Linked DNA regions of Diceros bicornis minor. The protein of the gene in region 1 interacts with the protein of each later gene in a pairwise test. Links are inferred from orthologs where the notes say so. Each region holds a gene or a part of one and is shown in the gene's direction. Other genes may lie near its edges. The genes, in order: CCHCR1, TRIM54, MIA2 and C13H1orf94.

Region 1 (7,628 bases):
CCTCCAATCGATATCCATAGCAATGGACCCTTCCCCTGTAGTCATTCCCTCCTGGGGAGGCAAGGGAAGAAGGGGCATTTCTTAGGACTCATTGGCACACCACTGTGTCCACCCGTGGCCTGGAGGTGCCAGCTCTGTCCTCTGGTGCCGTGATGGTGGCCTTAGGTCTGGATGCCTACACGACACCCTGGGCACCGGAAGTCGGCCTCCCTGGCAGCCTGGATGCTACAGCCAACACAGGCCACATGGAACCAGACGTCACAACCATCACACTGAACCCAGGCTACTGTCTCTTCTTGGGGCAGGCAGCAACAAGGGGCTGCACAGGGCTCCCCACCCCCAACTGCGGGGGGAGCAATGGGGGTGCTCACTGGGTGCTTCCGAGGACGCCCACGTCGATTTCTGAAGAAAGTGACACAAAAACCAGGGTCACTAGAAACTGTAGAAGCCTAGAACTGTCCCCTGGATAATCAAAGTGAACCTAGATAGACTCACTAGACTAATGGTGAACCTGGTTAGTAGAGCTAACCCAGGTCTTGCCATTCCAACATCTGTTCCACTCCTGTCCACCTCCCATCCCCCTCTCCCTCCCCTGAGCTGAAGGCCACCTCCCAGCCTGGGGCTCTAAAAATGAATCAAAAGGCAGTGAAATATTAAGACAAAGATCTCTCTACTTACCCACTAGGTGTAAGTGGGGTTTTCTCTACACGGAATTTCTTCCTGGGCTCTGTAAGGACTGGTGGAGGGCTCTCGGGACCCTCTCTCTCATCATCCAGTTCTGCCAACACTCGGTGAGCTGATTTCCTGCGATTCCTTGGGGGTGGGGCAGAAGGGGTGGTCCCCACTTCCCCAGGGGGAGTGGGAACAGGCAGGCTCTGTGGCCCACCCCCACTCCGGGAAAAGGTGAGGGGCTGGGGCTGGAGCTTGCTGAGGCTGCCGATGGAGTTGAGGATCAGCGTGGCTTTGGGGGCAGGGGAGAGGGTGCTGAGGGGGCGCTGTGGAGCCCCCTGGGAGGGCAGCATGGGCCGGAAACCAGCCCTGGTTCCCTCTTCTCCCCTAGACCGAGGGATGGTAATGGCAGCAAAATCTTGAGGTTTGACGCGGACTTGCTGAAACATGAAGTAGAACTCCGGGGGGCTGGTTCCTGGGGGCCCTTCAGGGCCAAAGGTCAGAAGGTCACCATCACTCAACTCTAGCCTATGACCCCTTGGGAGTCGGACATTATTGACCAAAGTCCCTGTTGATGGTGGGCAACCAGGCACAGAGAAGGACAAAACAGAAATGACCAGAGTCAGTCAGGAGGGGAGGAATCTGGCCCCATTTGATTTTCTGGGGAATATGAGGAAGAACTTGACACCTGTCATCAAATTCTCTCACATTCTAAGTACCTCAGCAGGTGATATCAGAGATTAAGCTCCTTGTGAGCTGGGAACAAGATTTACTTTTCTTATGCCCTCCCTCAGGGCACATAGAGGGAGCGGACTCCCCTCACTCTACTGAGGTCCAGTTCTCAGATATACTCACCCTCAAACAGCCCCAACTCAACAGTTACTATCAGCAAAGCTCAGCCTGTCTGGGTTCAAATCCTAGCTCCACCACTTACCAGCTATGTGACTCTGGACAAGTTAACCTCTTTGTGCCTCATTTCCCTCGCCTATAAAATGGGGATGATATTCATGCCCACCTACATTCAATGCACTTAAATCTGCCTGGTTCATAATAGTAAGCACTACATGAATGTTGGCTACCACTGTTATCCAACCCCTACCACACACCAAAATAGACCTCACAAAGACATTTTACCCAAGAGGAAACCCAGAGAGGAGAAGTAACAGGTCTGAGGGGGCCACCAGGTCTGATAGGTCTGCCACCAGCGGCCAGTGGCAGAACTCAGATGTGAAGTCAGGCCTTCTGAGGCTGGCTGTAACTATCTCCAAAGTCAAGGAGTAAGACATATGCCCAGATCATTAAAACATAATTCAACATATCATAACGGCCCTAAGACAGGAACGAGATGCCTCAGCAAATCTGGAAACTGAGTCAAGTCTTAGCTTGGATCCCAATGCCCCAGAACAACCCCACTGTGATACTTTCCTGATGATGCCCCAGGCCCTGGATCTACCTCCCAGTCCCTGTATGAGCTAAACGGGCCATCGAGGGTCAGCCCCGCAGAGTGTCTGACACTGCACATTTCTGGTAGGAAGACAGGTCTGGACTACAGCTGTCCATCAAACCTGATGGGGAGTTTGGGAGGCAGGAAGGGTCCTTGTGGAGTCCCTTAATCATTCCAGCCCAGAACTGCAACTGCCTAGGTGCAAGGCTGCCCTGCTCACTGCTCACCTTGGCTGCTATGGTCCTCCAGACTGACCCTCCAGTCATCGCCCCGGCATTCAGCGTGCAGCTCCGCGTGGACTCCAGAGATGAGGCCGGGCTCCTGCTGGGGCCGCAGGGCCACATCACACAGGTCGGCCCTGCGGCCCAAGCGATAGGTGCAGCCAGCTCCGCTTGGGGGGTGGAAGGTGTAGAGATCACCGCCCCTGCCGCCCCCTATGCGCAGCAGCTGGAAGCAGGGCAGCATGGGCGGTGCCCCCTCCGCACCACCTCTTCCACTTCAGGAATCCATCACCTTTCCCACTCCTGGGTGATGCATGGCCGGCCTAAGTTTACTTTCCGTCTGATACAAACTTGAGCTGTGCTTTGTGCAATTTCAACTTTGAGGACACTCCCTGAATGGTGCAAATTCAGAGGACAAGGAGCCTAGGCACACGATGGAAAATTGGCTGTCAAGCAGCTTTGCAACTGAAAAGTTCGGAGAAGGTCCCGGTGCAGTGCAAAAACCAACACGTCTTATGGCACCTTAGTTGAACCGGATCCTCAGGCCGCAAAATACTCGGGGAGCCTTCAATCTGTGCAAGGCAACATACATTAGGCAGCGTCTAGGGAAATACACTGTAGATGTATGTATGAGGGGGGGGTTCCTGCTCCTGTGCAATGTTAGCTTGTCACCTCAATGTAATTTGGAGAAAAGAAGCTTCTTCCTGTCAGACCTGCTTATCCAAATGGAGTAATCCTCCTGCTTGCCCGCGCCTTGCTCTTCTGGCCAATACCTCACTCATAACTAGTTAGCTTGAACCCCAGTGGGAAAGTGAATCCACTGTCATCCCCTAAAGGCAGTGCAAACGAGTCCTTACGTTCTCCAACAAAGCGGATCTAAACCTCCGCTTCTCCGGGTGGGATAAAAATAGAGCAAAGAGCTCCCGGAGATCATACAAGGCAAACCCAGTCTTTTCCCTCCCCGCCCCAGCCCAGTTTCGGATTACCGCGCGGTGCAGTGGCAGGGTCTCCCCTCCAGGCAGTGCCAGCCTCTCGGCGGCCCCGGGACCTCTCGGGCTCCGGCCGGCGCTGGCGCTCCCGCGGCTGTTTGACAGCAAGGAAGCCGGGGCCAGGAGGGGCGCGGCCTCCGCGCGCGGGCAGCGCCGACCCCGCCTTTGGAATTCCCGGGCCCGAACTTCGCGCCGAGCGAGCCCGCCCCCCGTGCCGTTCCTGATTGGCCGGCTCATTTGTGCTCCTCCTCTCCATTGGGCGGCGCGCTTGGAGGCTCTCCGATCTCCCGCCTTCCGCTTTTTCTGATTAGTTCACAAGTTTTCCCGGGTTCCCGGAGTTGGGAGGAGCCGCCGGGGCGCGGAGCTGCCCCAACGCCTTAGTTGGGCCCGGCTTCAGACACTACTGCGCCTGCGTGCACCTCTTCCCCTCCTCCTTCCGGGGTGAAACGGGCTTTAGAGCGGCCCGCCAACCTGCGCGCTTTGCGCAGGCGCGGTCAGGGGCGGAGGCCGCGCCCGGGAGCAAGGTGTAGGGGGTGTGGTCAAAGGGCAGAGGTGGGCTCTCGCGCTGGGTAAGGGGCATTCTGGAAGTGTCGGTTGGGGGCGGGAAGGGGCTGAGCTGGGGTGCGAGGGTGGGTTCAGGGGTCCATAGGGGAAGTGGGGTAAGGGGGCCGGGTAAAAGAACGGGTAAGGTGGTCGGAACAGCCTTAGAGCTCGGGGTCAAGCAGGGTGAAGACGCAAGGGTATTTGAGGGAGTGGGGGTCGGGTGGCAGAACTGAGAGCCGGCTAGAGTGCAGGGAGGCGAGAGCAGGCTATTGAGTTGAGAGATGAAGGTGCGAGTGAGGGAGCAGAGTAATTCCTTCAGGAAAAAAGCAGATTAGGATGTAGGGAGGGAGGGGAATAGAAATCCCAGATCGGCGGGGCGAAAATAGATGAATTCGGGTGGGAGGGTGGGGAGACCTTGAACACCCTCTCTATGCTCTAGGACTCTGGAGAGGGGAGGGTGGGTGACAGGAATGGAAGCTGAGAGGATAGTAGAGAGAAATTGAGAGGAAAGTTGTTGGAAGGGTTTGGATGAGATGTCAGGAAGCTGGCTTTTCTGCCAAGAGATCTAGGCTGCCTGGATTCCCAGAGGTCCTGGGGAGGCATCCTATTCTGCATGTAGCCACATTCATCTGGGCCTGGGGCCAGAGCTTTAATAGGGAAGGACCAAGGAGGCATGGCTTGGTGGTGTCTGGATGGGCTTCCCCAAGGCCTTGCTGAGCCATGGAGAGAACTCTGGAGATTGGGCTCACAACCCCTGCACTGCATACCTCCTTTCTCACCTCCGACCAGGAACGGCAGAGACTGTAGAAACTTAAGGAGGAGGGTAAAGTCACTCCCAGAATCCCCAAAGTATGAGTAAAGCCTCAGAGAGCTCCCTCTCAGCCTGTCTCAGTAAATTCCCTCCATCTCGTGGTAATTGCCATAGTTCTGTCAGGAACCAGGTTGGGTCAAGCAAGTGATCTTTGGGTATTTCCTACTTCTTTTGGGAAGTAGGAAAAGAGGAGCTAAGGGTTGGGTGGACCTGGCTTTTATTTAAGGATTATGACTTTGTTATTGTAGGGGCTTTCTCTTTGGAAGGTGGCCTGAAAGTTGAATTGGAGTGTCCTTGTTTCTCCTATTGTCCAGGGGAACATAGATGGCTGGACACTGAATCTAGAGGCTTCAAATAATGTGGAGATGTTTCGACCTTCAGGTCAGTGGGACCTGGCAAGGGGACTGGTGATTGTCTCTCCCTGGGAAGCTGACCATCTTTGTCCTTGTGATTCTTCAGGTTCCACTGGGCTGATTCCCCCATCCCACTTCCAAGCTCGGCCCCTTCCAACTGTGCCAAGAATGGCTCCCACTTGGGTCTCAGACATTCCCCTGCTCCAACCCCCAGCCCATCAAGATGTCTCAGAAAGGCGGCCAGACAACCAGAGACCTCAAGTGATCATGTGGGAACGAGGTGTTTCTGACAATGGGCAGGAGCCAGGGCAGAGAGGCAGGTAGGGATACACTGTCACTGTTTTCTTGGGCTTGCTTGCCAGTGACCCTTCTTCACTGAAATAGATTTGTTACCCTGTTTCAGCCCTTCCATAATTTGTTCATTTTTACATAAGCAACTATTGGTGTGCCTACAATGAATAAATAGTAATAAGGCAGTGTGTTAGCTGCTAGGGATGGGGATAACAAAAATGAATAAGAGAGATCTTTATCTCAAGGAATTTAAAATCCCAAGAGAGAGACTGACCAACAGCTGATTGTAATAAACATAGTATAAGGCAAGATGAAGAAGTGTGAAGGAGTGTAGCTTGTACTGTGGTATGTGGATTCATTCTGACAGAGTACATGCCATTGGAGGTAGCCATGCTATTTGTAGGTGTACTGTCTATAAAAATTCTTGATGTTTCATGTGTGTCTTTTCCCAAATGTCCTGGAATGTCATTCTGCCATTTTGCCCTAGAGTGGAATTGCAGATGGGTCTACCTTGGACCCCATCAAAGAGGAAGGAGCCCGATGATGAAAGGGGAACACTGGAGTGGGTGTCAGGAGACAGAGACTTTCTGTTGCTCATTTGGCTACCAGCTGGGGCTCCTTTGGCCAGTCACTTAATTTCTCTAGGCTCTGAAGTGACAGATCCCTGCCACTTCAAAAAAAAATTCCGTGGTTCTGGGCCTCAGTGAGTGAGCTGTGTCAAGAGCCTTGTTATACTGGTTTAAACTTTATGTGACACCAGTTGATTCTGTTCTCCAAAGGTCGGAACTTTGCAATTTATTGCTGTACTGTTCTCTCAGACTCCTCCTAACACTCAATAAATGCTTTTAACTAGCTCCTGGCCGCACCATGTTGATACTGGAAGCCTTGACTTCTCTTTCTCTGCACCTCCCTCAAACTTTTCCTTGCCCTTAAATCGGAATTCAGAAGCCTCTGTGTGTTCTTCCAACCTCTCCAATTCAGAATGTGTGGCCTGATGATGTGCACAGGCAGATGTTTAATATATCTGCCTGTATATAGGCTCTCTCTAGGGAGATCACGTTCTATGGTCTCAGCAAGCCTTTAGGTCCTGTGAGCCCAGACAGTGGACCTAATGTGCTTAGTAGGGCCTCGATGAATGACTATGGTGAGGGAAATGCAGAGATCCCCATGGCCCGGCTTCATCCCCCTCATCTCCCCACATGGGAACAGAAGGATCCTCTTCTCCTTCTGTCTCCATTTATGCCCTTGGCCACTCTCCCAGCACCAGAGACATGTCTCACCTGTGCTAATCTGTCTTTGAAGGTCCATAGAGGGGTCGCAGGCCCTGAGCCAGCAGGCTGAGCTGATCTCTCGGCAGCTGCAAGAGCTGCGGCGGCTTGAGGAGGAGGTCCGGGTCCTGCGGGAGACCTCGCTGCAGCAGAAGATGAGGCTAGAGGCCCAGGCCATGGAGCTGGAGGCTCTGGCACGGGCGGAGAAGGCCGGCCGAGCTGAGGCCGAGGGCCTGCGTGCTGCCTTGGCTGGGGCCGAGGTTGTCCGGAAGAACCTGGAAGAGGGGAACCAGCGGGAGCTGGAGGAGGTTCAGAGGCTGCACCAAGAACAGGTGAATGTGGGGGTGGAAAGGGTTTACCTTCAAAATGGTGAACTGGCAGTAGCTTCCCAGCAGAGAACAGGTATCACCCAGAAGGCCCCATGAGCAGTAGAGTAATGAGAAGATGTTTGGTGAAGGCGAAAAAACAGGTGACCTGGGAAGAGGGAGAACTTGGGTGTTTTGGGCTTACTCAGATTGCACTTTTTCCCAGGACTCGGGTGACCCGCACACCACTTGAAGCCCTCCTTCCCCTTCCAGTAGGAAGTAATCTGTCTTCCCACTTTGCTCCAGGTACCCAATTCACCTGGGAGCCTTGGTGGAGGGGTGAGAAAGTTGGGAGTGGGGTCCTAAGGAGGACTGGGAAGGGAATATTACTCAGTCAGCAACCTTTTTTTTTTGTGAGGAAGACCAGCCCTGAGCTAACATCCAACGTCAATCTTCCTCTTTTTGCTGAGAAAGATTGGCCCCGGGCTAAGATCCGTGCCCATCTTCCTCCACTTTATATGAGACGCCGCCACAGCATGGCTTAACAAGTGGTGTGTCAGTGCACGCCCAGGATCCAAACCTGCGAACCCCGGGCCACCGCAGTGGGGCGCGCACTCTTAACCGATGTGCCACCGGGCTGGCCCCATCAACAACCTTTTATCAGCGCTGACTCTGCCATCCCTGAGACAGGAGCTGGGACTCTGGGGTGAGCAAATCAGCTTGAGTCCGTGTGG
Region 2 (8,512 bases), on another chromosome or scaffold:
TGTTATAGAAACATTCACTTTGACCCAATAATTCCACTTCCAGGAATCTACCCTAAGGAAAAAAGAGATTTATTTAAAGATTTATAGATAATTTTCATTATAAGGCTATTATACTATCAAATGGTTAGAAACAACTATCCAATCTAAATTATATAATTACATTATGATACATCCTCATGATGTAAAAGTATTTAAATGAAGATTTGAAGAACCGTAGTGACTTTTGGACTTCTTGATATCGTTTCAAAAGAACATGAGAACTAATAATTACAATATAATAGGATAAATGCTTTCGCAGAGTAAGGTGGGAACAACGGGGGGAATGAAGAAAGGATTCCCAGGAATACTAACATTTGATGTAGGTCTTAAAGGATATGTAGGAGTTTCCAGGTGGAAGAGAAAGAAAGGACCAAGTGGAGACTCCCAAATTCTGAAAAAGAAGACTGGGAAGGCAATACACCTCTTGAGAAAGGCTTGCAGAAACCATACCTCTCATACAGCACAGTCTGCAAACCCATTATCTTTCTGTGAGTGAGTCGATGCGCCATGACTGTGATCAAGACAGGCGACCCCCTCCCATTGGAGAAGAAGGGATGCCCCTCGAGGCTGCGCCCAAGGGTAGGGCTGGAAACGAAGCTCCCCCGCCTTTGGCCGCTCGCGACCGGCGATCCCCCACGCTCAGGCTTCCCCCTAGTGAAATAAGTCCCAGGGCTCGTAGCCTCACCTCCCAGACCTTCCGGCGGCGCCAAAAAGCGCCCGGAGTGTTGATGCTGCGCGCAAGCGCAGTCGGCGGTGGACTCCGGGTGAGAAGTTTCACGCCCCGATGGAGGTTGTATGAGGCCTACCCGGCTGAAGAGAGCGACTCTTCAGGTAAAGCGCCCGGCCGGGTGGGGAGTCCAGTCAGAGCCAGCGGGGACCTGGGGAACCCGAGCACTCCCGTCGGAGCTTGCTGCCTTGGTTCTCCTGGGCTACAGCCTCTGAGCTCTCTCCCACTCGGAGGTTCTGCTCCCTGTTTCCTCGCTCGTCGGCCCCACAGCTCCCCCTTTTCGCTTCCTTCTTCGTCTCTTGAGCCATCCCTCTGTTCTGCCCACTGCCCCGGCTCTGGGGGGCGAGGGTGCGATGGTTTGAGAGGGCAGGCTGGGGGAGGAAGGCAGTCGGTGGCCCAGCGGCGAGCATTGCCCTCTGTCCTGGCTTTTGGACGCCTGACTTCTCTTCGGCAGCTCGGCGTGTGGTCTGAATGGCCTCTCCCGTGGGGACTGTGGCTCCCTGATTCCTGAGCCGCCTATTAGGGCGGAGGCGCACTGCTCTTTCAGACCCAGCAGTGAGCCTGGACAGGCCCAGGGCCGTTTCCTTAAGCTACTAGTAGCTCAGGACAAAATCAGTCTCTCCCCATGGCTTAGACCACCCTTGCGTACACCTCTCTAGAATGTGGGGTGTCTGGAGGTCTGTGTAGCTGAAGGATGCTGAGAACTGTGAGGAGAAGACGTTTCCTCTTTAAAATTTGAATTTGAACGTCTTTTCAGGTCGCCTGCACTCTCCTGCTAGTCGCAGATCCCACTCACTTTGTCTTATACTTGTCCCTTTGGAGTCATTTACCTGCCTAGCCCCCGAAGGCAATGAGCTTCCTGCCACTGGAAGTTCACTTCTCCGTGGCCTCACCTGTGGAGTTTCTCACAAATATTTCTTCTCCTCTGACCCAGATCATGTCTCATGTGGATGAAGCAGCCCGCCGGCTGTCCAAGAGTGGGTCAACCCTCTATGCAGTGCTGGAGCTTAAGAAGGGTGCCTCACCTGAAGACATCAAAAAGGCCTACAGGTTCAGACCTCAGCCCCTTATTAAACCCTGCAATTTTCCCCCTTAAACCTTTTTCTTTCTACCTTGCTTTCTGACCCATTTTTAAATCCCCAAGCCTTCACTTTGGGGCCATTCTCCTCTTCAGTGTGGCATGGGAAGGAATTTAGACTTGGGCTGCTTGCCGCCATCCTTTGTACCATGTCCCATGCATTCCTTCTTCACAATCTAGAGACCTGTCCCTGTCATTCATCCTAACCCTCCCTCCCCAGCCATTCCCCATCCTCTCTCCACCTTCCTTTTGGGTATTGCCTGGGTAGGAGACTGGCCTTGAAGTATCATCCAGACAAGAATCCAGGGGACGCTCAAGCAGCAGAAATATTCAAAGAGATCAACACAGCCCACTCTATACTGAGTGACCCTAAGAAGCGGAAAATCTACGACAAGCATGGCTCATTGGGAATATATATACATGATCACTTTGGCGAAGAAGGCGTCAGATACTATTTTACGCTGAATAGTTGTTGGTTCAAGGTACACAGTTCCTCCTAGTCCCTTAAGAATAAGGAAGGAGGGGCAGCCCTCCTCTTGTAGGACAGCCGACCCTCCCTTCCGAGGACAAATGCTTCAACTGTCTCATTTTCTGGGTCCTGGGAGGATTGAGGGAGGGGAGTTTGAATGGAAATATAGAAGAACTGCTGGACTGAGACGCTTCTTTCCTCTTTTAGACACTTGTCCTCCTGTGTGCTCTGCTCACCTGTTGCTGTTGTTGCTGCTGCTGCTGCTTTTGCTGTGGAGCACTTAAGCCACCACCTGATGAGGCTGCCAGGAGAAAATATCAGCAGAATGTCCAGAATCAGCCTTCAAGGTCAGGTGAGAACCAGAGACGGGGACTGAGGTAAGAGCTGGGTTAGGAATGAAAGAAATGGTTGGTGACAGAAATGGTTGGGGGTGAAACTGTGAACCCCTAAATATTGGAATCTCAAGTCAGTATTGGGGCAAAGTGAAGAAAGAGAAGGGGATACACTTGGTTTCTGAGGGGCTTATGCCACAAAGTGACAGTTTGAATGTAGTGTTGGCCTCTCATGACTGTTAAGCTAAGGAAAATGGAGTGGGAGTTAAGGTAAGGAATCAGGTGAGAGAGTCTGCCTAGAAAAGGCAGTAGTTGAAGACAAGTTAGAGGATGCAGCTTATTGTGTTTACTCAAAAGGAAGATGAAGTGTCTGAGATTATCCCCACCCCCAAGTAGTTAAACTTGGAAGTGTGGGTTTACTGATGTTCACACCAGTGCCACCTAGTGATGCTAGTGAGTAACTGCAAGATAACAGTTTTCTCACCAGTAGAATTGTTACTAAATGTTTATATATGTGTTTTTCAAATTCCATTATAGGAAACAAGCAAAGTTTTAGAAAAGGGGAAGATAATGATAATGAAGATGATTATTAAAAGATGAAGAAGAGTTGAGGTATGAAAACTGAAATGCAGCAGTAATTAAAGGACAAGTGGAAAGTTTATATCCTTATAGTATGGATTACAGATGTTTATATCCTTACTTAGAGTGGTTTTGCTTTAAATTCTGGGTGATCATTCCTTCTAGTTCATAATATGCCAACTTCTTCTGCCCATAGGTGCTGACCTAGTGAGAGTGCTTCTGCTGCCCAGTCCACTGGACACGTTGAAGAAAGGAGCAAGTAGCCCTGTCCTGACATTGACCCTGATTTGCCCCTCTTCTTGTAAGAATCCCAACTTCAGAAGCATTGATGGAGTTGATCCTAGTGGGGATGCCATCTCTGTCCTTGATGGTATCACTGACCCTGGTGATACAGGGTCACCCAGCTACTCTTCTTTTAGCTCCAATTTTAATCTGTTAGAGAGCAGCCCTCCCATCTCTACCCTTATGAGGTCTCAGGCAGTGGTGATATAGACTTTTCCTCAGCATTCTTTTTCCTGTGCCTTCCTTGAGATTTGAGCCAATGTTAGCTGGTAGGGTCTCTGAGCCACTTGCAAGATCTCCACCAAGATCCTGATACTGAGCAGGGTGGATCCTATCCCAGAGCTGCTGTGCCAGCTAACCCTCCTTTGTTACAACTCTGTGTATTAAGAACTCTTAGCATCAGCCTCATTCCTAAGCCAGTACACCTTTCTGGGGCTCATCTCACCTTCTTCTGGTGCCCATGCACTTGGCATTGCCAGTGTCACTCCATGCCACCATGAGTCACCTCAGGAAAAGTATGAATGCATTTGAGGCCTAGGGGTGTTTATCTCACCTTTGGATTCTCCCTGGACTGCAACTACCAGCACAGCGCCCATTAGCATGGGTCCTGTGGGTTGACTGAAGTTCATGCGTCAGTGCCTGCTTTGCCTCCACACTTTTTACCACGTCTTATGCCGGCTGATCACCATATATTTTGTTCTTAAAGCAGGGGCATGAAACGTGATAGGGAAAATACTGTACTTTTACAGACCCTTTCCCCACTCGTGCCTCTTCACACTGCCTGTTTGGTATCCTCTCCACACCATTTATTTCCTGTCCACCCAGGGTCAGAGCCTAGTAACTCCTCAAAATTCTCTCTCCTGACTGGGAGAAGGGCAAATGAATGTCAGTAAATAAAAGAGTTTTTGTCAAATCCCAGTGCATATGTTGGTCCCAAAAAAGACAAATTGTGCCTGGGATGGAGAAAAAGTCCTGTAGGAGAAAAAGACAGAAGCCCAGTGCTCACACGTGAGACCAGCCTGCTTTGGACAGTAGGAGTCTGGGACAACTATGGAGTTGGGGCAGAAGGTTCCTGGAGCCTTGTGATTATGACTTTGTCAGACCTCTAAAATTTCCCTGGAGACTGATTCCCCTGGTGCCCAAAATAGGTTCCTGGTATTCAGGTCCTGTCTGCCCAGCTCAGCTTCTCTTGATTTCCTAACAAATTTAAAGTCCTTGGAGTGGCTCCGGTGATGTTGTCATGGACCAGAATCCCACACTTTGTCAGGGGCATGCTCATGAGGTCGTTCCAGGCCCTGGCTTCCAGTGCCAGCTTCCTGAGCTGCTTTTCCTGGGGTGATATAAGAAAGGTCTGGGCAAGAACAAAAATGGACCAGAAGTGTTGGACCAGAGCCTCTCTCTCTAGTCTCTGGTGCCTCTGTTCTGAATCACAGGGGTCAGAGGAAGAGGGCCAGGGTCACTGGCTAAGCCTTGGAGGCAGAAACTTTCACTGACAGTCTGTGAGTCTGGCAGTATCTTTCCTCCCACCGTGAGCCATGTATGGTGCCTCTCATCCAGGCTGATTTAGATTCTGTGTCACTGCCCTGGAAGAAGGGCCCAAGCCAGAGCCTGGGAGTCAGGGGCTCACAGGAGCCTTCTGAGTGGGAGAGCAAGTGAGAGCCTGACACCTTTACTGCCCACCTTTCACCCTAAGCAGTGAAGCTCACCCCTGCTCTTGCTCAAGGGAGTCACCCATTACTGAGTGAGTCAGGGTCACTCACTCAGTGACAGCTGTGGCTCGCCTTACATGAGCTAAATTGGGAGTTGGAATGTCACGCAGATGCCCCTTGTTCCCCACCCCCACGTTAAAGTTAATCTCTCTGGGGAGTGAGAGACAAACAGTGCTGCCCATAGAGTGAACAAGAGTCATTTGGGGAACAAAAGGAGAAATTTCCAGGGACAGAGTCATTCAGGGAGGGAAGGGTAGATAAAGCTACATGTGCCTGGCTGGGGTACAGAGCAAAGAATAGAGAGACAGAGAAGTGTCTGAAAACAGCTATCTAAGGACGAGGTGAATTGTTAGAGGAAGGGACAGGAGAGATAGCAGAGCTATTTCAAGAGTAAGCAACAGAAGGGAACATAAGAATCCACAGGCTGTCTGAAGTAAGCGAGGAAGGGTCCAGAGGCAGTGAGACAAGGCCAGGACCAGGGCCAAGGCCAGGATAGGCACAATCACTGAGGGGATGAACTTCACAGTGGGTTTCAAGCCGCTGCTAGGGGATGCACACAGCATGGACAACCTGGAGAAGCAGCTCATCTGCCCCATCTGCCTGGAGATGTTCTCCAAACCGGTGGTGATCTTGCCCTGCCAGCACAACCTGTGCCGCAAGTGTGCCAACGACGTCTTCCAGGTGGGCCAGGGGCGGGGGCAGGGCCAGGTAAAGCAGTGCAGACTTGTGGGGGACTTCTCATCAGGTCAGAGCTGAGACCCCGGAAGGTGATGGGCAGAGTATTCTATGAGGTGGGTGGTGGCTGTCCTGGTTGAAGAGCAGAAGAAGAGCCAGGGGTCCTAGCAGATCCCAAAGTAAGCATGAGTCAGCAGCTGCTCTGCAGGCTGGCAAGTACAGCCTGTGCATGGACAGCAGCTGGAATGCTGGTATCTACAGAGGAAAGAAGACCCGCATAGAGCTGGGAGGGAGGTGATCCTACATCAGACTGTACAACAGTCTATACTAGACTCTGCATCCTTGTTTGGAGTTTCGGGTTTCGAGAACAATACAGAAAATCTGGAGAAAATAGCAATGAGATAATGAAACATTAAAAAATGAACCCTGTGAGAAAAGTTCATGATGACAGTGAAACTATTTGTATTTAAGGCAAAGCTCAGCATATCCATCTTTTGGGGGCAGAGTTAGACAGTGGACAGGAGACTGGGAATTCTCCCCAACTAAAGCTCAGGCCTGTGCCCCGCTCCAGATTGGTCAATAAAGGGGCCTGCTGGTTAAAAAGGATTGAGGTCACTTCAGCAGAGAAGGCAGACATGAAATTTTACTTCTCAGAAATATAATGAGTTTGGGTTTATATGTGGTCGTGGGGCAAAGCATAGCTAATCAAATTCACAGATACCATTTTAGCTACTAGTTTCAAAAAGAAAAGCAGCATATCACAGAATGGTTTATTCCTGAGCTTGCTTTCTTGCCCTGTGCCACTGGTGTAGGCTCTAGTAATCTAGAAAAACTAGTAATATAGAAAATGGAACAAAGATCAGGGAGAGTGAGGGGAAAAGACACACACACACACACACACGCAAAGATCTTGCAAATGAAGTAAAAATTGACTAGACCAGAGCTGGCTGGCTTAGTATGCATGGGGCAATAAGGAACATCATGAACACATATTCTTCAGCTGTATCAGAAATTATGGGGAAATGTGTTGAACACAAGTGATTTTTAACTTAACCAAGAAAATATTTCCCTTTTAAGTTCTTTGTGGCAGCATGTTTGGGGGAAAATAATGGGCTAGCTAAGTCAGGCCATCCTCCAGCTGTGCCCTGTGACCCACACTTTGTCTCTCTACTGCCTGCCGTCTTCACTGAGTGCCCAGCCCCATAGTCTTTCCTGCCATCTTCACATCAGGGCCCATTCCCATCTCCTATTCCTCTATGTGTCCAAACCTGCCGTTATTTGGCTCCAGAGTATCTCAGAGCCAGTGATTTTCCCTTTCTGGAGGCCTAGACTGACTGCTATGCCTGCTTATTCCAGGCATCAAGTCATGTAGGAGAGACTATGCCTTGCCCTCCATCTTGGTTTTTCCCTTGGTCTGAGTAACTCTCTGAACATCCTGCAGGCTGAGATGCCTAGAAGGGAATGGCAAAATGAATTTGTAGTGAAACTTTTCTTTCATTAGAACCTGAAATATGTGAATGCAAATAGAAGTTTTGAAAGTGAAGGTAATGTGTCCTGTAAAAAAGTGGTCAGAATATTCAAATGCAAGGCACACAGTGTCATCGGGCAGAGGGATGCAGGGACAGGTCCTGAGTATGGAGGCTAGAAGATGTTTAAGTGACCTTCCTTGTTCAAGCCTGTCCTCTGTATCAAGGCACACAGTTTCGGCTCCTTGAAGCTCTGGAATACTGATCTGGGCCCAGAGAGACCTGGGAATGGGTTGGGTCAAGTACTGTGCAGAATATTTGAGAGATAACATGATTCCCAGGGATGGCTTGGGATGGTTCTGTGGATCTGGACTGGTGGGTATCTTTTAAAGTGCAGAGCACCTCTGGGCCCTCCAAGGAGAGAGGAGGGAACAGCTCATTCCCTTGCTGCTTTATTTGGGACGGCCTGGTGGGAGGCTGACCCAGTTCTTCAGCTGCGCTTATGTATATACATCTCAGTAAATCTCCCTCTGAAAGATGAGCATATTTAGTTTTTTCACACATTGCCTCCACATTTTGACAACTCTAGGCATAATCAGATAGTCTGTTTTCTAAGTATGGGGACAAGAATAGGACTTTTGGTTCCTCTATGTTAAAACCGCTTAGGAAGAATACCCTTAGGACATTGCCTAGAAAGTTAACAGGACTTATAAAAGTGACACCAGTATATTATACATATTTTTTTTCAACCAGTATAAAGTTTATATCAAGAAAAGTGAATCTTCACCTCGGGCACTGAATTCCCTTTTCCAGATAGAGGTAGCCATTGCCAACTTTCTTGGGTATCCTTCCAGAAATTTTCCATGGATAGATACGTGTGTGGGGTGTGTGTGTGTGTGTGTGTATATATAGTGTGTGTACATATATATATATGGTGTGTGTATATGTATATTTAAACTAGACTCCTTGCCCTACACCTGTCTTTGTTCGCTTACTCTCGCATGGTGGTTGTTCCATATTCACACATTCAGCTCTGTGTCTTCCTTTTTAAATGGCTATATAGTGTTCCATTGTTATGACTGGACTACAGTCTGTTTAATCAATCTTCTAAAACATTTAGGTGGTGTCCAGTGTTTTGCTGTCCTGAAGACTGCTG
Region 3 (8,157 bases), on another chromosome or scaffold:
CAAAAAAGTGAAGTTGTATGATAAAGACACAAATAATGTCATTCCCTTCCTTAAAGCTTCCTCTGGCTTCCCACTGCACTTAGAATGAAACTCACACTCTTTTCCACAAAAAATGCATGATTGGACCTCTGTCTGTCTCCTACTCCATCTCCTACCACTCTCCATCTGCCTTTATGTTTCTTGATTATATATGCCTGTTAGTTTCACCTTTAAGCCTTGTTTCTGACATACTGGAATGCATCCAATATGCCTCCTTCATTTTTTCTTTAAATCTTTGGCGATCAAACTTCAGACAATGAAGTACGACTTCCTCGTTAATTCTTCCCCCTGCACAGAATGTCTGCCTTCCTATTCCCTCCTCTTAAGTCAAATGTCGCTCTCCGGAGATGCCTTCCCTGACAACTTTATCTAAGTAGACACTTTTCTGCATAATAACTTATCAGTACCTGCAATTATCTCGTTCATTTATTTGTTTGCTTGTTCTTGTCTGTCTCCCTTCATTTGCATGCAAGGTCCATGAGAGCAAGGACTTTGTCCTGTTCACTCCTGTACCTCTAGTCCCTAGAAGAGTGACACATCATAGGCATTCAGTAAATAAAGCCCATCCTGGAAGATGAGATGTGTATGTGAAATACATACACTGATACAAAGTTGGTGCTCAACAAACATTAAATTTCTTTCTTACCCATTGATGAGAGTAATCAATTCAGTCCCCTGATCTGCACATATCACACAGATATCATCTTGGATGTAGAGGATGTTGCATGCTATTATTCAAAAATACATAGTAAAGGAATGATGACAGTGTGTGGGGTATTCTCTTTTTGCTCCTCCCAATCCACTCTCCACTCTTTGCCACTCTGCTCTGTGTCCCTGGAACACAGACCTTAGGACTGCCTCAAAGGGTTCCCTTATTCTCTGGCATCTGGCTGGGTTTGGTCAATGGGTGCTACCATCAGATCAGAAATTAGAAGAGTGAGGTTCTCTTGTCTGAGTTCCTTTACCGAAGGCTTCAAGTTCCTGCCAGGCAGCTCTCTCCTATAGTTCTCTCCAGGCAGTGGACACCGTTCCTTCAGGCCTGGGGGTGTTACATCCCTTGTTGGTTTCCCTTAACCCTGCCCACACCTTTGTAAATAGTCCTTCATTAAAATCTCCTCAATCGTTGAGGAGTGCCATCCCTCAAAATGGAATACCCTTCTGTTACCTGCTAGAACTCTGACTGATACAGACAGAATGAGAAAAAGTGGGCAGAATTGAAACACGGCCTTCAGCAACACAAAAGCAGCAAAGGTAAAAAGAGCCACGGAGTGACTAGCACAAATGATGGGCCAAAATGTGCGTGTTCTACCGTCTCCTCTTTTTGCACCTGTGGATCACTAGCTTCTGAGGTTGGGTCCTCTCGCAGTAAAGGCTGAAACAGAGTTGGAATTCAAGGGATCAACCCCTATGAAAGGAAGAGGGAGACAGCAGGACTGGGCAGAGGGGGAAGTCAAACTGCACTACAGGCTCTACAAAGCTTCAGTCAACCCAGCAGGAGCTCTGGAGGGAGAGGTGCCCACATCAGGCTGCCATTGCAGCCCTGCCTTTGTACTCTCTCGTCATTTATTCACCAAATTCACTAGATCACCGGGAAGGGGCGATCTTGGGTGAGGGGGCTCTCTGCAGCTGGGGCAGACCTTGAAGTAGCTGCCAGAGGGAGGCTGTCTGCTAACTGCACTCCCTGCAGCTGCGCAGAAAGCCTCTTCTTGAAGAGGGAGCGTGGGGGGCCACCTTCATGTCTTCCACACCAGTTTGAATCTCAGTCTCTCCTGGGCTTGATCTCACACTGCACAGCTGTCTGCCACGGGAACTGTTTCCAAAGGCTCTGTCCTAGTGCCCCCTCCCTAGAAAAAAACACCCTGGCTTCCTCAGCTCAGCTTTCCCCAAGCAACTTCTAATCAAATTTCTCTATCTTATAAATTGCCAGACTAACAGACAGCTGGTGGAAGGAAATATGTTCCCACTTCAGGAAATCTGAGGTATTGAGAGAGAAGACAGTACTATACAGAGTCAGAAATAACCTTACCAAGCAGTAGAAGTGCAGCATTGGTGATGATATCTTTACATTCTCGTGGAAAGGGTTGCTCTGTGATACTATTGCTGAGATACTGAACATATGTGGCTTTGATGATTCATTCTTTAGCTTTATGCAGTAGGTTCTCTTACCTCCTGTATGGTTTCTGAAGAATGCTACAGGCTTTCCAAATCAGTATTCCTGACTGTTACCATAAAATCTTCCTCAGCAGCAGTATTATATTTTAATATTGACACAACACTTGATCTGAAAAATGCATCAGCAATTAGATAATACCTGGCTAAATTAACATGACTGTTGTTATAGTGAAAGTTCGATACTTTGGTTTCTTTAAACTAAATGCTCTTATCCCTTCCTCCATCACCTCTTCATCCGAGTCTGTTGGATACAGTTACCATTGTGCTACCACATTTTCAGATATCTTGTTAGGATATATTTAAATAACAATCTAAACATGGAATGAGATCATCTGAGTGCATCAAGTAGCAAGAAAGTGGGAGCATTTCTATAAAAGCAAATCTCTCCAGGCTGCTATCTTAGGCAACAATTTTTCTCGTTTTTCTTGACTCAAATCTCCTTCAGGCCAATCAATAGACAAATTTAAATTTATCTGGGTTCTTCTCTGTCTTAACTTACAATATAACTAAATTAATTGGTGCAGAATTGAGCTGTAATGTCTTTAATATTGAATACAATAAAGGATAAAGTATATTAATTATGAAATATTCTCTATTTGATGTTATAAATTATGCTAATAACCCTGTGCCAAATTTTGAAGCTGAAGAGCTAATCTTTCTTTAAATGTCTTTGACGACATAGCCTATAGATTTGCAAAAGTATTCAAGAAACTAAGCTACATCTTTTTGAGTGTGGATGTGCACAGCTATGCCGTGCTCTGAGTGCAAGCCAATGATCCTCAAATTCATGCTCTATCAGATCCTAAGGACGTAAAAATCTTTGATCCGAGAAAGCAGGCTTCCTACTAATTATTGTTTTTGGAAAACAAACAAACAGAAAACACACGTCCTTTTTTAGGACTTTGAAAGCAAAAGTCCTTTACTTTAGTTTGCTCAGGTACTGGATATTTGTCTTGTTTATGTCAGGCACTAGAGGGAGGTGTGGTGTCATACAAGGGCTGCATTCTGTAAACCGATTACACGCTGATAGGCCTGAGATACAGTGAGAGGGTACAGCAAAAAAAGGCTTAGAAAAATATTTTCTCAAGAGTGAAGTACGACAACTGTGGTTTCTGAAAATCTACTGAGATCTAGTGTTTTACACAAAAATTCCCAATATAGGGCTTTGATCCCTTTTGTAAACCATAATAACATTCAAATAACGTGATTTTCATAGGTTTACTGTTATTTTAAAATGATACATCCTCACTGATTTTAAAAAAGTCAAACAATATAGAAAAGTACAAAGAAGAAAGTGAATACAACTTGAAAGCACACTGTGTACTCCTACCGTATGGAGGAAGATTCTTTCAGACATCTCTCTCATTCTCTCCACCTACAGAAAAATGTATGCAATTTTAAATATGGAATAAGCCTGTACTTGCTGTTCCTGGAATAGCATTGTTGCAGAGAGCGTGGACATCTTTCTGTGGCAGATGACTTGATTCTTGGTGGTAAGACACAGCGGTTATGAGTAAGGGGAGTCGCAGGGCTGAGGTTTAAATTCTTCTCCACTCCCTGTGTGACACTGGGCAAGTGATTTAGCCCATCTCTATGTACCTCAGTTTCCTCATATGCAAAAATGGGGATGATAATATTACCCGCTTTAGAGAGTTGGTGTGAGGGTTAAATCTGATCACATGATTAAGTGATTAAGACAGTAGCTGGGACATAATAAGTACTTACTACATTTTAATTATTATTCTTTTTTTTTCCCCCTGAGGAAGATTCGCCTTGAGCTAACATCTGTGCCAATCGCCCTCTATTTTGTCTGTGGGTCCCCGCCACAGCATGGCCACTGGTGAGTGGTGTCAGTCCGTGCCAGGAATCTGAACCTGTGACCCTGGGGCAGAGCTTGCCAGACTTAACCACTAGACCACGGGGCCGGCCCCGTAACTATTATTCTTAACTAAATACAAGTTTCAACTTCGTAATAACACCAAAGATTTTTAAAATATGAAAGTGGGATATTTTTTCAAATAACTTTCATCATGATATTTCAAAACCATGCTTTTAACATAAATGATTACTGCTTCTACATGTAACTATATACTTTCTCCACTGATGCTGGTGTCTGCATGCAGCAAACACTCAGTTTGTACGTTTTGACCGAGCTCCCTGAAGAGAGAAATGAACTGCCTTTTTGTGGAGGCCTGCTTAGGAATTGTCCTGCGGAATGCCAGGTGCCTTTAAGGGAGACAGTGTTACATGGGCCACCTTTGTAAGACGTGAGTCCAACTAAAAATCTCTGTTAATTATTAAACCCTTAGGTATTATCTGGATACCTGACACTGCAGATTGAGAACGGAGAGTGTTTTTCTCTCAAGGTAAGCCTAAACACTGATAGAAAAATGTAGTTACGAAGGGATTAAAAAGAACCAAACCCCTTTCTCTTGTATTTAGTGAAGAGAGTGGGATGTCTCCTGTTTGGGCTGGCGGACCTACAGCCTAAACAGTCGGTTTAAACCTTGTTTGGGGTTCCTGCTTGTTTTAGCATGGCGGAGCTGGGAGTTCACAGAATCCTCCTTTTGATTATTTCTCTGACAAAGTGTCTGGAAGGCACAAAACTGCTGGCCGACTTTAAAAAATGTGGTGACTTGGAATGTGAAAGTAAGTTGCTTTGCTTTTTTTTCCCTCTTAAACTGAGGCTCTGAAATGACATAAAATGTTATTGTGGACATGTATGATAAAAATGAGCATTAATTCGTTACAAAATATTTGCAATTATAAAGTATGGTTCACTATAAAAAGGAAATGCTGGAGGCAAAGCATTTTGTGATAGTTTTTAATGCAAATATACAAAGGGGCAAAGATCAGCCTGGTACATAAATATATCAGAAATTATAAAAATATTAATCCAGACCTCAAAAACACACAAATCAGATCTTTTACTGTTTTATAAGATAAATGTAATTGATTTGCATTAAAAAAGATATCAAGCCATTTAATAGTTCTTTATTTATGAAGCCCTTATATTTTTTAGTTTTCTAAAAATGTTTTTATTTCAAACCATTGTGATTTATTGTCTAAATTTTATCAAACATTAATCATTTCTGTGTCTACTTATTAAGTAAAAATACTGAAATTAGTGTTAGGAGTACATAATTTTATTTATATCCTTGAATATTAAACTTCTATATTTTACCAAGAGAAATTAATTTTCATTTTATTGCTTAAAAACTTAATTTTCTGTTATTAGCATTATGGTGCAGAATGAATAGCATCCCAATATATTAAAATTGCTTTAAATATGTTCTATCTCTTCGGTATGTGAGAATTATTTCTAATTTGCAACATGTAAATTAAAAGTGCAAAATATTATTAGTATAAACATAAATAATTTATAAGTAAATTTTTTGAGTAAACATTTTCCTTAATCATTTGGATATGTAATGTAATATATAGAGAAAGTTTACTAGATTTTTTAAATAATAATAATAATCTTTCTTTCCCTCTTTACAATCTCATTTTAGTTTCCTTAGGGCCAGACACAGAACATGGAAAGGGAACATTCAAATTTATAGTAATATATAATGTTATTTTAACTTTAATTGCATGACTTAATTAAAATGTTTTACATATGTTAGTATAATTATAATAGTTAATATGGTATGTATATTACTTTATGTGTTAAAGGCCTAAATCTAGCATATGTGGTTATGATCATTCATGGTTATTGAGGGCCTGTCATGTGCTGGGTCTGAGGGGCTGGGGGGTTTTGATCTAAGAAGAAGAAAATAAAATATAAGTTTCTTGCCCTCCAAGAATTTTCATTCTAGTGAATGGTGACAGGACAGGTCAATATGAAACAATAAATAGTGATACAACATAAGAATGAAGTTCAGGGGCTGGCCCGGTGGCGCAAGTGGTTAGATGCTCGCACTCCGCTGTGGCGGACTGGGGTTCACCGCTTCGGATCCCAGGGGAGCACCAACACACCGCTTGGCAAGCCATGCTGTGGCGGCGTCCCATATAAAGTAGAGGAAGATGGGCACGGATGTTAGCCCAGGGCCAGTCTTCCTCAGCAAAAAAAAGAGGAGGATTGGCAGATGTTAGCACAGGGCTGATCTTCCTCACAAAAAAAAAAAAAGAATGAAGTTCAGAGAAGGGGCAGAGTAGGCTGGACTGATTAGGGATGTCTCATAGAGGAAGTAGGATATGAGTTGACCCTGAAGAGAGACTGAAGGGGCAGAAAGAAAAGCACAGAATATGGAACGTGGATGGTGAGTGAAGAGAGCCTCAGTGCAAATCTGGCTCCTCTAAGACGTAGTTAAAGGCTCATGTGTTAGCCTAAGATGAGATTATTTACCTCATAGGTCTGTTTTGAGGATTTAATAAAATAAAGATAGGAAAGAGCTTATCATAATGCCTAGAATATAGTAGGTGCTGGGGAGAAAACTAATGATCTTTTCCTTCCCTTCCCTACTGACGAGAATGACAGCGACACATTCCAGGGACAATGGATAGATGAGCTTGACTGTAAAGAAATAAGAGGAAGTCATTTTAAGTGGGGAAGAAGGAGCAGGTTATGGACAGCCTTGAATACCAAGCCAAAGAGCTTAGAATTGATTCTGTGAGCAGCGGGAAGTCTATGTAGGTTTTTGAGTTCATAAATGTTATGAAGAAATTAGCATTTGGAAATACATAGGATGGATTGGAGGAGGGCAAGATGGGAGGCAGAGAAATGACATTTTAATTTAAATTTTGTGTTTTTCTTACATAGCTTTAATAAGCAGAGTCTTAGCCTTGAGAGATTACAGAGGACCTGACTGCCGATACCTGAACTTCACTAAGGGAGAAGAGATATCTGTTTATATTAAACTTGCAGGAGAAAGGGAAGATTTGTGGGCAGGAAGTGTAAGTATCTAGTCTTAAAAATTGAATGCAGAATAAATGACCAACTTGCACAAGGATGCTCGCTTTTCATCCCTAAAGAAACTTTCCTGGGCAGCCCGGTGGCGCAAGTGGTTAAGTGCGCGCGCTCTGCTGTGGTGGCCTGGGGTTCACTGGTTCAGATCCCAGGCGTGTACTGCTTGTTAAGCCACGCTGTGGCAGGCATCCCATATAAAGTAGAGGAAGATGGGCACGGATGTTAGCTCAGGGCCAGTCTTCCTCAGCAAAAAAGAGGAGGATTGGCATCAGATGTTAGCTCAGGGCTGGTCTTCCTCACACACAAAAAAAGAAACTTTAAGAATTTCAAAGTGATATATAGGTATATATATAGGTATATAACATTTAACATATTTAAACAAGCAAAAAATGGTCATATTCAGTGTTGGTTCCAGAATTTCCATAAAAGCAGAATTTTGGGAAAGCAGTCTGGTTGGGATGGAGGACTAAGAATGCCTTGAAATTATTTTACATAGCATGTGTGGTTTTTGAACTTAGATTTTATATTTACTTGGAGAGTAAATTTACCTACTTCAGAGTTACTGATGGAGATTATGAGATAGCTAGGCAACCCCAGGGATTCCTTGGTGCTGCCAATGGCCAAATTTAAGGGAGATTGGGAAGTTTTAGTTAATCAAATTAAAAGACATGTGTTTCTGAGCAAATGAAGGACTGAGTTGCTATTGAAGAGATCCTCAGAAAGATTAGTAGCCTAGGGAAGTGAGGTATATGAATTTTTCATGGGAAAAAAGAACAACTGGGAGAGACTTTTATTTGGCCTAAATTCCTATTACACTGAAATTCCTAGAAGTTTGAATCATGTCTGTGAATGTAAACACAGGAAAATTAATGATTAATGTTTTCAGTTGAAAATAGGTTTGCCTCTTTGATTGTATCGTTATGCTTTATAATGAAAAGATGCCATGATAAACAATTTTACTTCCAAGTTAGACAAGCATGACCAACCTGATGCATACATCATTTCCATACTGAATACACCTCACATCTCTCCCTTGT
Region 4 (7,746 bases), on another chromosome or scaffold:
GCTTAGGGCCTAAGAAGATCTAGAAAGAGCACAGGCGATGCCCACCTTTCTGAATTCTCCAACCTACACATGTTTGTGTCAGTGATGGAAGGCAGGTGAGTAGAGGTTCGGGCTGGAGAGTAGGTAGGAAAACTTCCTGGTTTTCCTGGTTCCAAATAGAAAAGCAAGAATCCCAGAACCCTAAATAATGGTAACTAACATTCATTGGGTATGTAGCATGAGCCAAACTAACTACTCTAAGCACAGTAGCATGCATTATCTCAGTTGTCACAAAACAACTCTATGAGGTCAGTATTTTATTGTCTCTGTTTCACAGATGAGCAAACTGAGGATAAAGATGTCAAACAACCTGCCCAGGGTAATAGGGATAGTAAGGGATAATTTAAGAATTTGTCCAAACTAAAAATAATTCATAGATGAAATGGTGTCCATGACTATTGAGTGCTTCACTTCAAGCTCTAAAGAAGTCAGGAGACCACACCTGTCTTCAAGGTTCTGTCTTCAGCACCTTGGACAGTACCAGGCACATGGATATATATGCTGGAGAACTATAACTACATGCTTAACAGAAGCTGGAGTATGCTCAGTTTTTCCCACACCTGCTATGTACCAGGCACTTATGGAATGCTTTGATCCCTTCACTAGCTTGTGACAGTGTCTAAGCTAGAGGTCTTATTCATCTCCCAGCCCTGAGCCTTGTACAATCTTGGCCCATGGTAGGTGCTCAAAAATGAAAAAGCCTAGAAAGGCTTAGTTGATGATTTGAGTCCATTCCTCCATCGCAGAGCAATTTCCTCAGCACAGCTAAAGTTCTCCCTCCCTACACAGAGCACAAAAGCTGCTATTTAGAAACTCCAGTGGCACACATTTCAATGTAATCAACAAGGAAACTAACATACAGCATTTTTATGTGTCTCTTATGTGCCAGGTGTTGTTCTAGGGACTTTCCATGTGTTAAGTAATTACTCAGTAATAGACATCTATAACAATTCTACAAATCAGGTGTTCTTTATTATCATCCCATTTTACAGATGAAGAGACCAAGCTTTATGAGCTGAATGGTGTCCCTCCAAATTCATATGTTGAACTCCTAACCCCCCATACCCCAGATAGTGACTGTATTTGGAGATAGGACCTTTAAAGAGTGGTTAAGGTAAAATGAGGTCATTTGGATGGGTCCTAATCCAATATGGCTGGTGTCCTTATAAGAACAGGAGATTAGGAATCAGACAGGCAGTGAAGGAAGACCATATGAAGACATAGGGAGAAGACAGCCATCTATAAACCTAGAGAGGCCTCACAAGGAGCCAACTCTGCCAACACCTTGATCTTGGACTTCCAGCCTCCAGAACTGTGAGGAAATAAATTTTTGTTGTTTAAGTACTCCAGTCTGTGGTGGCAGCCCTAGAGAAGCAATAAACCAAGGTACAGAGTACCTTGCCTAAGCCTACATTGCCAGAAAACATGAACTCAGAATTTGAACCCGGGTAATCTGGCTCTAGAGTCTAGGTTTTGTGATGATGTGAATGTTCTCTGTGCTGTCCAAAATGGTAGCCACAAGCCACGTGTGGTGCTTGAAATATGGCTAATGTAACTAAGGAACTAAAATTTTAATTTAATTTACATTAAAATACAATTAAAATTAAAATAGCCACATGTGGCTAGTGGCTACCGTATTGGATGTAGCTTTACACTGTTTCTAAGTACTTCACTTAAGTTTTTTGCAGAATCTTCTAGAAATCTCAGCTGTGCACTCCAAGAAACGTGTCCCTATCTTTGTTCCCTATCCCTGCTGTATTTTATTTTTTTGCGTTCCTTTCTAATTATCCCCTGTTGCCTGGTGTCCTGCTGAAGGGGAGAGAGAATGGGAGAAGGAGTGAGCGAGCTGGCTAACTCTCCAGAATCCCGTGGCCTGGGCAGTGCAAGGTCGTTGGCAGTCTGCTCTAAGCACAGGTGTTAGCCAACCAAATGCCAAGCCGCACAAACACTGAGTGACATTTTCAGAACTATTAATATTTCATCAGAAATGATCACTTTTCCTTTAAATACACTACCTTAAAAGGTTTTCTACATTCTTAACTATAATTTTATTCAGTCTAAGTCCTCGGAATTTTCCCCAAAGGAACACATCTTCAATTTTATAATGAAAATCAAAGGGGAGTGAAGCTTGAATTTCAAAATTTAGAGTCAACATTTCCAGGAACTCCAGTCCTCTGTAAAGAGCAAGGTTGTGTATTGGGCACCTACTGTATGCCAGGCACTTGGCATACTGCATACCATTGATTCACCCAACACACATTTACTGAGTGCCTACTATGTGCCAGAAATTTTATCTTCATTATAATTTATTAGCACCATTTTACAGAAAAGGGTTCCTTCTCATCCTGTTTCATCTCCAATATTACTTCCCCAAAGAGGCCAGCCTGGAGGGCCATCTAAGGCTGCCACTGCTCCCTCCCCACCGCCTCACTTTGTTGGTTAGTTTCCATCAGAGCCCTTATTTCATCCGTAATTATTGCTATTTCCTTGCCTTGCTGGTTTGTGATCCATCTCCCTCCCTAGAATATGGGCTCCAGGAGAGCAGGGAGTTTTGTTCACCTTCCAGCGACTCACCTGGCACAGAGGATGGCTCCGTCAATACTTGGGGACCGGATGAACGCATGAGCATGAAGTTAAGACAGTTGTTAGGGTCACACAGCTCCGAAGTGGCAGTATCGGGTTCAACTCTTCATCTATGGACTGTCATATCGTCTATTCGCGGCCATTCTTCTTTCTTCTTTCCCGTCCTCTTGCTCTTCCTTTTCTGGGGAAACACCGGAGGAACAACCACTGACTCCTGTGGCCAGAGAGCCCCGGGCAGGCGGAGGGTCAGTTCCGAGATTAACGGAGCCTCTCCAGTGACGGGGGGAGCCCGCTGGGCAGCAAACCCTAAGTCAGCCCTTCTCTCTGCACCTCGGCCCTCGACCTCCCCTGCTACCGCGCCGCCCACCCCGGCACCCGCTGACCTCTGCGCAGGGGGGAACGGTCTATCTCAGCGGCTGAGAGCGGGATCAGGCCTGTGGGCCCGGGTTTGAATCCCAGCTCCCCACTTCCTTGTGGGCCGTGGAGACACCCCTTTAGGACTCTGAACTCGGTTTCCTCTAATGGACAACGACAATAAACAATGGTACTAACTTCATGAGCTCGTTAGGATTCAACATGACCACACAGGAAGCCCAGCACTTGGCACAGGGTAAGCGCCCAGTGAAATGGCAGTTGGGGTAAAAACAGGGGAGCCAGGGGCAGGGCCCCGCAGGGCTGAGGTTTGGGCGGAGTGGCGGCGGAGCGAGGCGGGGCGCGGCGCCCTCGGCTTCTAACAGGGGAAGGCGCTCTGGGGTCCTCCGGGCCCCCACCCCCACCCCGCCGGAGGGCATGGGGCACCGAACCCGCGGCGCCCCGCGCACCGAGCCGTTGCGGTTGAAACCCACAGAAGGAATTCCAGCGCTGGACGGGAAGGGTGTGGGAGCCACTGGCTCGCAAATCGATCCAAGCCGCCCGGCCCGGCCCGCCTCGCCGAGACGGCACCCTTTTAAGGCGTTGGGACCCTTCCCAGGCCAGTCCCAGGCCAGCGCGGGGGGCGCGGCAGGCGCCTGCTGGGGGCGCCGACCCCGGGGGCTGCGAGCGGCTGTGCGCTCGGCTCACTTCGTGCGGGGGCGGCCGAGCGGCGCTGGACAGGGGCCGGGAGGGGCAGCGGGGAGAGCCAGCCTGCCCGGCCGGCCGGGGCGGGGGCCGTTGGCCCTCGGAGCGCGCGGGCGTCCCTGGGAAGACCGAATGAGACTCTAATGAAGGGCTCCGGCCTGCACGGTGCCTAGCACAGCGCCAGGCGCTCACCCGGTCCTCCGCGAGGCTTAGCGGGCGAGAATGGGCTGAGCCCCAGGCGCCGCAAGGTGTCACGGGCCTGTCGCAACGGGGCAGTGCCAGGGACCGTGGGGAGAGCCCGCCCTCCCCCTCCAGCTGTTCCCAGATGTCATCCTGCCCTTCCAGGCTCCTGGTTCCTGAGCTCAGGGGGATTCCACGGTTACTAAGCTACTGGTTTTTGTTGACTTTTAAATATTTTCTTCTAAGGGAGAGGGGGAGGGGGGCAAAAGTCAGGAAAGAGCAAATAAAAGCAAATCGAAATAAGCTCCTCTCCCCAAAGGAAAGTTGTCCTCCATCCACCACTCACACACAAATCGAAGGCCTCTGAGCACACTCATCTTGCTGGAGCAACCTGCTTCTGCCCCATCCTCATTTCCCTTTTTGGTGAATGAGGGGTGGTGGTGGATGGTCCCCTTGTCTTCGAACCCTGGGTGGACAAAGGGGCTTCCGGAAAGAGAGGAGGAGGATGGCCAGTGGGAATGGGCTCCCTTCATCGTCGGCCCTGGTGGCCAAGCGCCCCTCTGCCCTGGGCCCATTCCCCAGATACATCTGGATCCACCAGGACACGCCCCAAGACAGCCTCGACAAGACTTGCCATGAAATCTGGAAGAGAGTCCAGGGCCTGCCCGAGGCCTTGCAGCCCAGGACCTCGAAGGAGCAGCTCTCTGCCCCCATGGCTGGGACTCCAGGAGACAACGTGCTCAGCTTCCAAGAAGAGTGAGTGTCCCCCAACATGGTGGGCATCAAAGGAGGAGGGAGGAGATGAGGTCTCACCTTCTGGGGGAATGTTCTGGCCCACTGTTTAGTCTGGTTCAACCCTAAAGGCTGTATACTTTTTCTCCACCCCCATGGTCCTTTGGCCAATTTTTATGGGAGAGTTAACTGGGGTCCTGAAGTTACTTGGGTGACAGGCCAGACTAGGGCTGAATTTTTGCTGCCTCTTCACCAGCCCACAAGGGGACATTTCTCATCCTTAAGTCATAGGCAACTCAGATGTAGACCTGAGAACCTTGAAAAACCACCTTAGTCAGGGCTGAGCATTAGATATCACAGTTTTCCCACAAGGCAACTAAAAGATCCTTCCCCCTCCTGCCTCCAAAGGCTAGGCATTGGCACAGATGAGTCTGGTGGTTTTAAACCACATCTGGAATTCCCTAATACAGGGAGCAGCTGTCCCATTCAGCATCCACAGAAGCTGCTGCAAGAGCACACATCAAAATATTTACTGGGAAGGCACTGACATATTCAGAGGACATAATAGAAAATTAACGTGCGGGAAGATGGCTGTAAATAGCCCATTTCCTAGTTGGGAAATCCTGTGTCTGGGAAACACAGAGCTAAGTGTTTCTCCGCCGGGGCAAAGTTGGACAGATATTGTTGGAGATGGATATTTACAAGGAGAGGAAGGAGGGACCTCGTTAGGAAAAGCAAGTGAATCCGCCATGGTTATTAATGTCACTGTTGAGCATTTGTTCAATGCTTTGCATCTTCAAAGAGGGCTGCCAGCATTAATTAATCCTCCTGAAGTCCTAGGAGGCAGGTATTAGTGTCCCCATTTTACAGATGGATTAAGTGTTAATAATTAAGTGGTAATTAAAGACTAAGTGATAATTAAGTGTTGCCTGTTCTAACACATGCTCCAGCTCAGTTCAGAGATGCTCTGGAGTAGGGGAACCATTCAGGCAATTATCAGCTGGTCTGGTTTCAGGGAATTCTATGCAAGAGCAAGAGGACAGGCAAAGGGTAACTGCCGCCCAGGTCTGCACGACCTGCCGTCCCTTTTCAGGCTCACATACTTGCTGCAGATGAAGGTGGAAGGCACCTTGGCTATTATTGCCTCCCCTGCCCTGTGCTCAGCAAGACATGGCTGGGATGGGAATGGCCTTTCTGCAGCCAAAATCCCACTGTCCGGCCCTCCAGTGGTATTGAGTCCCTCTCCCCTGCCCATTGCCATCTGCTCTGGGATGGGCCCTTGTCAGGGGGCCCGTGGGGCTGTGCTCAGCTCTCAATGGCCAAGGAGTTGATTGTCCACTTTGTGGAACAAGGGGCAGTGGCAATTTCCAGTAGATGGCACCATCTCTGCCAGGTCACACTGAGTTAATGGAGACAGCCTCTATTTCCAGTTCGCACTTGGCCGAAAAGCGACCTGGCGCACCTTTGGCCAGTTGCTTAACTCCATTTGGCCTTGATTTTTTCATCTGCAAATTGAGGATGATATGCCCTGCCTTGTCCACCTCAGAGCTGATAATGAGGATCAAATGTGATGAGAGACAGGAAATGGAGAGCTGCATTATACAAATGAGGCTGTCCCTAAGTGTAATTCTCAGGGTTCGGGGGTTTTTGTTGTTGTTGGCTTCAGTCTGGGGTTTTCACACTATGCTCATAGACCCTAGGGTGCTTCAGAGGCCACCCTAGAGTCAAGTGGCCTGATTGCTGGGCCCCATGCCCATTTCAGTCAGAGCTGTTTGGCTTTTATGGGTTTTACTTACTGGAGTTCTAAGTAAAGGCTGCGTTTGAAAAAAGAGTTTTGCTACTGAGAAAAGAGCTGGGAAACCACTGACTTAGATGAATAAACGATATCATAATCGTGTAGATATCAACCGAGTAGAACACAATGAGCTATTCTTGAAATAAAGGCAGCTGCGATGGTGCAGTCAGATAACTCTGGTTTCAGCTCGCATTTCAGCCCTGCGCCAGCTGCAGGATTTGTTTAATTTATGTGAGCTTTAGTTTCCTCATCTGCCAAATGGAGATGATTGCTAGGCATTTCACAGGGTTGTTGGGATGATTAAATGGGATATTTAAACATTCCCAGTAATAACTAGGATTTGTATAAATTCCTTGTAATAATGATGATGATGATTTCTTTAAGCCCTACAATTATTACATGAGGTAGGTACTATTTTAAACTGCCCCTCTTTCTACTTTTTATTATGCAAATTCAAATGCATAAACTAGAATAGTATAGTCAATGTCTATGTGTCCATCACTGAGTTTCATTAATTATCAAATTTGTGCCATTCTTGTTTCAATTCCTTCCTCCCCTGTTTTTAAATAAAATCCTTTTCACAGATGAGGTGATAGGATTGGAGGGGTTAATTTCTTTGCCTGAAATCCTACAATTAGGAAGTGGTAGAGTTTCAGAAAGCAAACCCAGGACCTTAGCCACTACGCGACAGCGTTGGCTATCTTCCCCTAGAAATTGAGCGTCTTTTTGGATGGTCAAAACATTTAGCAGTCCCACATTCTGAATGATTGCACATGGATAACAGATTTCAAATCCAGGGAGCTGTCCAGCATATTTCTAGGATGGCTTCAGACCCACAAGACACCTCTCAGCTAATTTTTCCACTGCCTAATTTGCAGACCTGGTTTTGATGATGTTTTCTGCTACCTGGGTGGTTAGATAAATAAGTTCTAGAACTCTTGTTAGCCAGAAATTTTTCTTGACTCTCTCCCTATATATCATGGAAACCCAGACATCTCAAGTTTGAAAGGGATCTTGGAGGCCATCTTCTGCTGCTTGAATCCCATCCTCAACGTTCTTGCCAAGTGGTTATCCACTTGCACACTTCCTTAGACAGGGAGCTCACCACTTCCTAAGGTAGCCCCCTCCCTTGCTATGGACCCTGAGCATCAAAAGACCATTTCCTTCCTGTACTGAAATCTGTCTCTATCAAACTAATACCCATTGATCTAGATTCTGCCCTTAGGGCTCCAAACCAAATCTATCCCCTTTTTCTCAATAGCCCTTTAGATATTAAAAGATGGCAACAATATTCTTCTTAGGACTTGTTGTTTATACAAGCTGAATACCTCTGGTTTTCTAAGTTTCCCCTCACATGCACA

Evidence for each region.
Region 2: the proteins of CCHCR1 (region 1) and TRIM54 interact in binary tests that used the Homo sapiens proteins (3 or more experiments, as listed by UniProt). The link is inferred for Diceros bicornis minor from reciprocal best matches to the Homo sapiens genes CCHCR1 and TRIM54.
Region 3: the proteins of CCHCR1 (region 1) and MIA2 interact in binary tests that used the Homo sapiens proteins (3 or more experiments, as listed by UniProt). The link is inferred for Diceros bicornis minor from reciprocal best matches to the Homo sapiens genes CCHCR1 and MIA2.
Region 4: the proteins of CCHCR1 (region 1) and C13H1orf94 interact in binary tests that used the Homo sapiens proteins (3 or more experiments, as listed by UniProt). The link is inferred for Diceros bicornis minor from reciprocal best matches to the Homo sapiens genes CCHCR1 and C1orf94.

What each region holds. Positions count from the first base shown.
Region 1 is NC_080753.1:34,069,797-34,077,424, forward strand, and holds the start of CCHCR1 (coiled-coil alpha-helical rod protein 1), read left to right. Parts: upstream 1-4,344; 5' UTR 4,345-4,539; coding exon 4,540-4,689; exon of another isoform or gene 4,690-4,991; coding exon 4,992-5,058; intron 5,059-5,136; coding exon 5,137-5,350; intron 5,351-6,623; coding exon 6,624-6,921; intron 6,922-7,628. Other genes in the region: TCF19 (transcription factor 19), read right to left, coding at 162-402, 679-1,237, 2,341-2,578. UniProt on the Homo sapiens protein: May be a regulator of keratinocyte proliferation or differentiation.
Region 2 is NC_080751.1:55,553,895-55,562,406, reverse strand, and holds the start of TRIM54 (tripartite motif-containing protein 54), read left to right. Parts: upstream 1-5,238; 5' UTR 5,239-5,728; coding exon 5,729-5,896; intron 5,897-8,512. Other genes in the region: DNAJC5G (dnaJ homolog subfamily C member 5G), read left to right, coding at 1,701-1,816, 2,113-2,326, 2,521-2,665, 3,183-3,238. UniProt on the Homo sapiens protein: May bind and stabilize microtubules during myotubes formation.
Region 3 is NC_080744.1:10,920,821-10,928,977, reverse strand, and holds the start of MIA2 (melanoma inhibitory activity protein 2), read left to right. Parts: upstream 1-4,730; 5' UTR 4,731-4,745; coding exon 4,746-4,860; intron 4,861-6,973; coding exon 6,974-7,107; intron 7,108-8,157. UniProt on the Homo sapiens protein: Plays a role in the transport of cargos that are too large to fit into COPII-coated vesicles and require specific mechanisms to be incorporated into membrane-bound carriers and exported from the endoplasmic reticulum.
Region 4 is NC_080752.1:48,634,129-48,641,874, forward strand, and holds the start of C13H1orf94 (uncharacterized protein C1orf94 homolog), read left to right. Parts: upstream 1-4,285; coding exon 4,286-4,614; intron 4,615-7,746.